Linked DNA regions of Danio rerio. The protein of the gene in region 1 interacts with the protein of each later gene in a pairwise test. Links are inferred from orthologs where the notes say so. Each region holds a gene or a part of one and is shown on either strand. Other genes may lie near its edges. The genes, in order: psmd5 and psmc2.

Region 1 (3,827 bases):
GCATGAATTAGCATGTTATTAGCATGATTATAGTATGAATTAGCATGTTACTAGCATGATTCTAGCGTGAATTAACATGTTATTAGCATGATTCTGACATTCATTAGCATGTTACTAGCATGATTCTAGTATGAATTAGCATGTTATTAGCATGATTCTAGTATGAATTAGCATGTTACTAGCATGATTCTAGTATGAATTAGCATGTCACATAGCATGCTTAGGTGGTTGCTAGGGTATTCTGAGTGGTTGCTAAGTCGTTGCTAGGCAGTTGCTAGGGTGTCCTGAGTGGTTGCTAGGTGGTTGCTAAGATGTTGCTAGGCGGTTGCTAGGCTGTTGCTAGGTGGTTGCTATGGTGTTCTGAGTGGTTGCTAGGTGGTTGCTAAGGCATTGCTTGGCGGTTGCTAGGGTGTTCTGAGTGGTTGCTAAGATGTTGCTAGGTGGTTGCTAGGGTGTTCTGAGTGGTTGCTAAGGTGTTGCTAGGCGGTTGCTAGGGTGTTCTAAGTGGTTGCTAGGTTGTTGCTAAGGTGTTGCTAGGTGGTTGCTAGGGTGTTCTGAGTGGTTGCTAGGTGGTTGCTAAGGTGTTGCTAGGTGGTTGCTAAGGAGTCCTAAGTGGTTGCTAAGCGGTTGCTAAGGTGTTGCTAGGTGGTTGCTAGGGTATTCTGAGTGGTTGCTAAGGCGTTGCTAGGCGGTTGCTAGGGTGTCCTGAGTGGTTGCTAGGTGGTTGCTAAGGTGTTGCTAGGTGGTTGCTAGGGTGTCCTGAGTGGTTGCTTGGTGGTTGCTAAGGCGTTGCTAGGCAGTTGCTAGGGTGTTCTGACTGGTTGCTAGGTGGTTGCTAAGGTGTTGCTAGGCGGTTGCTAAGGTGTCCCAAGTGGTTGCTGGGTGGTTGCTAAGGTGTTGCTAGGTGGTTGCTAGGGTATTCTGAGTGGTTGCTAAGGCGTTGCTAGGCGGTTGCTAGGGTGTCTTGAGTGGTCGCTAGGCCCTTACTAAGGCATTACTAGGCCGTTGCTAGGTGGTTGCTAGGCGGTTGCTAGGGTAATTTGGGTGGTTGCTAGGCAGTTGCTAGGGTACCCTGGTTGGTTACTAGGCAAGCCTCACATACATGCCTGATAAAACGTTTATACTTAGTAAGCATTTCTAGCAAGTTACAGTACTTGGCTAGTCAATATTAGCATGTAGCTAATCACTGCTAGCATGTGTAGCATTTAGGAAGTTCCGTTTGCTAGCATGAGTCAAACGAGCCAATCTCCAAGTCTCTACGATGTTCTGATGCTGAGATATAGCTGTTGATGAATGGTTGCTAGGGTACTCTGTTTTGTTGCTATGGGCGAGGTTACAGAGTGCACTTGATTGTGGTTTGCTGTCTAAGTCAAATGAACCAACCCCCATGTCTCTATGACACTGCTATGCAAAGATATGCATCTTGGCCTATTTTAATGGAAGTCTATGGAATCAATTTGGGGGCGTGGCTTGTGAGCTTCATTATCATATTGAGATGCTCATTGGTTGTCTGAGTCAGATGAGCCATCCCCCAAGTCAATAGGACACTGCTAAGCAAAGATATGCATGTAGGCCAGTTATTAACATGAGTCTAGTATGAATTAGCATGTTACTAGCATGATTCTTGAACAAATTAGCATGTCATTAGCATGTTTCCAGTATGAGTTAGCATGTCATTAGCATGATTAGCATATGAGTAGCATGTTGCTAGCATGATTGGCATGTCATTAGTATGTTAGAATTATAAGCATTTGATAGCACAGCTAATTACAGTCTATAGGCCAGTTGCTAGGGTGCAGTATGTGGTAGTTAGGGGTGTGGCTAGAAAGTTAAAAGCTCATCAGTTATTGGTAGTTTGGTAGTCTAAGTTAAATGAGCTCAGCCATTAGTCTGTAGGACAGTCTGATGCAGAGTTATGAGCTCACAAAGTTTGATCCCATGTTAAGTCAATGAGAGTCTTTTGTAATGGAAGTCTACGGGACAGTTGCTAGGGTGCAGTATGTGGTAGTTAGGGGTGTGGCTAGAAAGTTAAAAGCTCATCAGTTATTGGCAGATTGGTAGTTGGAGTTAAATGAGCTCAGCCATTAGTCTGTAGGACAGTCTGATGCAGAGTTATGAGCTCACAAAGTTTGATCCCATGTAAAGTCAATGAGTCTTTTTTAATGGAAGTCTACGGGACAGCTGCTAGGGTGCAGTATGTTGTAGTTAGGGGTGTGGCTAGAAAGGTAAAAGCTCATCAGTTATTGGCAGTTTGGTAGTCTGAGTTAAATGATCTCAGCCATTAGTCTGTAGGACAGTCTGATTCAGATTTATGAACTCACAAAGTTTGATCCCATGTTAAGTCAATGAGAGTCTTTTGAATTGAAGTCTATGGGACAGTTTCTAGGGTCCAAAATTGGTTGCTAGGGCGTGGCTAGAAAGTTTAAAGGTGATCAGTCATTGGCAGTTTGATAGTCTGAGTTAAATGAGCTCAGTTAGAGTTCTGTGCGACAGTCTGACGCAGAGTTACGAGGTAACAAAGTTTGGTCCAATGTTAAGTCTATGGGATTTTTCCGACAGTCCCGGGACGTTTTTCGGAAAACCGAAAGTTGGATCAGTCCGAGGAGATATGGCATACCGAGTCAGACCAGTTTGGAGGTCTGGTGTGAGTTTGGTGGTAATAGCTTGAAAGTTCAAGGAGTAGATAGAGTTTGAATTTTAGTCTCAGAAGAAGAATAATAATAAAATTAATAATAATAATAAGTTTAAATAGTAGAACAGTAGTCTGGCTTTGACAAGCCAGCCTAATAATAAGTTTACGTGAGATAACAGTATGTTGGCTTTTCAAGCCACCATAATGAGCTTAGTGCAACTATAAAGACATTTAAAAAACGCAGTCAGCACATTATAAGGAGAATCACAATGCATTACCTTTTTTTTTCATTTGTGTCTGTGTCCACAGATTGGCCGTGTGGCTGGACATGCTGAGGGAGTGACGCAGATGCTGAACAATGTAGAAATCCTGCATGACGTGATTCAGTGCATCAGTGTTGAACGCATCGCTGTGGCCAAAGAGGTACAGAGATAAACAATGACACACAATGGCACACTATGCCCTATGTACCTATGCACTAATATATGTATGTAGTATCGTCCCAAATGAAGCACTAATGATTTTTTACTTAGCGGAAATTCAAACCATTTCCCAGATGACGTTTGCTGGTTGCCAAATTAGTGAAATAACTGACCAAAGTACCAAATAATACCTGCCACAAGTATAACCCATATAGACTGTAAAATATATGGACGTAGTATCCGTGACGTCACCCATAGGTTTCTGAACATGCAAAAGAAGCCACAAGTAGGCGCGGCCAATCGTCGCCATTTTGTTCACGCGTCATCGCACCCACAGCGGGAAAACAAACAAGAGCAAAGAGGCGGAAAGTGAGCGGAGCTACAGACACCTGCTGGCATTTTGCTTGGACCTGGCTTAGACAGACATTTGGAAAACGCTTAATACTTTATTACCTGCGACTCGTTTATGTTCTGACCACTTGTGCTTGGCTGTACACTATATCAATAAAGTGTTCAGTCTTTTAAAAACACTGCTGTAACACATTGAGCCACTAAACATTGTTCTTATGACGTTTTTCTACAGGAGGAAAATGCTAATTACTTCTTACACTTACACAAATACACTTCAGATATAGTCTGTGTTAGTAAATGCAGGACTATTGATGAATTATAAATGATCCTAAATAAAACAAAAACATTTTAAAAAATGGCATATACGTATATAACTTTACTCACATGGGAAATAGAGGCCACTTGAATGGTTTGTGAGAACA
Region 2 (3,239 bases), on another chromosome or scaffold:
TGAGGTCCCTTAACGGTCTGCTGAGGGCCTTGCTTTAAAACAGTCAAGGTTTGGATGCAGGATGACAATTCAGTAGCATTTTCATTCCTTAGTAAACACTTGAACTAATCACCATTTGATCTAAAGTTCAGTAAACCTCTTGGGGATGTGCTTTAGTAGATTGACACCTCAGGGTCAGATAGTGACTATCTTACATGTTATATTAGCTGTATTTAAATATAAGATATTTAGACAATATCTTGTGCTAGTAACGGAGCACTTCACAGTAAGACCCCCTTAAAATTAAGACATCTCGAAAACTGAATTGTCAAGATATGTTTTTAAATATAAATCAAGCCCTGAGCATTAGTCACTGCAATAAAGATCCAATCGTAGGCTGTGTCTGAAATTGCTCCCTGTGCCCTTAAATAAGGCGCTATTTGAGGTGACATTTGTAGCAGTGTCTGAGACTAAGTTCAATCCTATAATGCATCAGCTGATGTGCTATGAGTGGTTAAAAAACACTCACAATGATCTAAAATAGGCTCATGGCAAATGAATTCCCACATATTACCAGAAGATGGTGCCCAAAGCTGAATCATCTATCCATTTTCCAACCAAATTGTACAATTGTACAAATTTTGAATTCATGAACCCTTTAACTACCCCACCCAGAAATGTTTTTACCCAGCATTTTTTTAACTCCTAATGTTGCAAGTTAACACACTTAATGTTTTTTTTTTTTTCAACATCCTATAATTTCTAAAATATCAGCCTCTACCAAATGATTGAAATGTCGGTTTATGGTAAAAGTACTGGAATTAATACATATAAAAAATCTGAAAATATGAAGTGTAAGACCACTTTATTTCAAAATATTCAAAATAAAACATTTTTGAATACTACATCTTTATTTTTTAAGTATGCCATCAAATATTTTAGATTCTCATTCAATATGCTTTTTTATACAATAAAACCAAATTAAGTGTAGAAGTGCAACAGGATTATGTTTGTTTGGTATTTTTTTTATAAACCAACAATGCTGTAAGACATTATTTAAAACAGTCATTCTTTAAATGACTTTAACAGCCATAATTTAAAACAGTCAATATGTGGTCAACCGTTTTGTTGAGCAGGCAGTTAATGGATTAATAAATTGCATAATTTAGAATTATGTGAACTAAATTTTAAAACAGTGTTGCATTATTACAGTTGCTTCCAGTTTGCTTAGTTTCAAATAATAAACAGCAAGGAACGACCACTAAGGTCATCATTTACTCCTTCAGGTGGACTATATTAGTGAACTAATGAAGGTAGCGGTAAATGAGATAACATTGGGTTATTTTAAACAATTCTATTAAATTTATTGTTATTGTTTTGTTTTTTGTCCATCTAAAAAGATAATTCTGTCATTTGCTTGAATCATGTTGTTCCAAACTTCTTCCTTTAAACCAAAACACCTTATTAGTTTGATAGAAGAAATACAAGAAATAATTATTTTGGCGAGGAAAAAAAACAACAGAGGAAAAATGGGATCTAAAACAGTTACCAACATTCATCCAGGTACTTTATGCCTACTGCTTTATTAGCATACCTTTTGTCTACTATATAATAGGGAAGCCTTAATTGGACACCTAATAACTGCACTATTGCTTTGCTCTAATAGGTGCCCGTTTTGATGATGGCGCTGGAGGTGATAATGAAGTGCAGAGAACGATGCTGGAGCTGATCAACCAGCTGGACGGATTCGATCCCAGAGGGAACATTAAAGTCCTGATGGCCACCAACAGACCAGACACCCTAGATCCTGCTCTGATGAGACCCGGCCGTCTGGACAGAAAGATCGAGTTCAGCCTGCCTGACCTGGAAGTAAGTATTAAACCAATCCAATACAATAGGCCATTTCAATGTGGCGATGTCACTGGCCCATAAACATTTCCTGCTTGTTATAAAACTATTTCATAACTATAACAAGAGGCAATTCAATCATAACTTGAGGGTAAAACCGCTATCATAACATTATTTATCATTATGTGGCTCTATTTGGATTCTCAGAAGCTATAGAAATTAAAAATAGGAAAATGGAAATATGTTGGGACTATTGATTCGTTTACCTCCCTCAAAATGGTCTATAGTGTAAGCAGTGGAAGAATTACAATAGTGACAAGGAAAAACTACTGCTACTTGTCATTTAACATCACATTCTGATTAATATGTAATGATTTGTTTTTTTTAGGGACGTACTCACATCTTCAAGATTCATGCCCGCTCTATGAGTGTGGAGAGAGATATCCGCTTTGAGCTTCTTGCACGACTCTGTCCTAACAGCACAGGTTAGTCCTTACTAGCAAACATGAAAGCACATTATACTTGCAAAGACTTAAAGTTTCCAGCTTAAGTTCACGTTGCTTGCTGTGTTTTTCTCCCCTCAGGTGCTGAGATTCGCAGCGTGTGCACGGAGGCTGGAATGTTCGCCATTAGAGCTCGTAGAAAAATCGCCACGGAGAAAGACTTCCTGGAGGCCGTGAATAAGGTCATCAAGTCTTACGCCAAGTTCAGCGCCACCCCTCGCTACATGACTTACAACTAAACCTCTTGTATGTGCTTTTCTGTTTGTTTTCTGCCTGATATAATTCAAAGATTCCTGTCGTTCTGTGATGTCACGTATCCAATAAAAACATTATCCATACTAGATGTCCTCTGTATTATTTTTAAGAAAAAATATTCCCTCAGAAACGTCTTTCACACACAAACTAGCAAGTGAAAGAGGGTCTAATTTGTAAGTTGGCATTGAAAGCTATTTTATACCCATTTAAAAATATATAAATAAATTGGAAGGCACTTTTAAGGAATAAACATTTAATAATTTAGAGTTGTGATTTGCATTTATTATACAATAAAAAATATCCTAAATTCACAAATGCATAAAAAGACAATAAAATACACTGCCGTTGCAACTGATTGTTGAACTTTGGTCTTCATTACCCCCCAATAAAACAGCATCTAAATATTAGTACAGAATAAAATATATATATTTATAAAATCCTTATGAGCACAAAGAGTGCCCGGAGTGACCATTTCATAGGCAGTGTCTGCGTCAAACATCAGAGACTTCATGTAACGCTTCATGTGATGTCTGCTGCTTGAAATGCGCTGTTTCAATAATCAATAACCAAGAACACTTTGTGATAATAATGTTTTTTGAAGTCACACAAAGAAAATAAATACAAACAGTAGGTTCAAACTAACCCTGGTGTGAC

What was found.
Region 2: the proteins of psmd5 (region 1) and psmc2 interact in binary tests that used the Homo sapiens proteins (3 or more experiments, as listed by UniProt). The link is inferred for Danio rerio from reciprocal best matches to the Homo sapiens genes PSMD5 and PSMC2.

Annotation. Positions count from the first base shown.
Region 1 is NC_133196.1:6,249,212-6,253,038, reverse strand, and holds part of psmd5 (26S proteasome non-ATPase regulatory subunit 5), read left to right. Parts: intron 1-2,941; coding exon 2,942-3,055; intron 3,056-3,827. UniProt on the Homo sapiens protein: Acts as a chaperone during the assembly of the 26S proteasome, specifically of the base subcomplex of the PA700/19S regulatory complex (RC).
Region 2 is NC_133179.1:15,512,601-15,515,839, forward strand, and holds the end of psmc2 (26S proteasome regulatory subunit 7), read left to right. Parts: intron 1-1,645; coding exon 1,646-1,848; intron 1,849-2,215; coding exon 2,216-2,312; intron 2,313-2,411; coding exon 2,412-2,569; 3' UTR 2,570-2,668; downstream 2,669-3,239.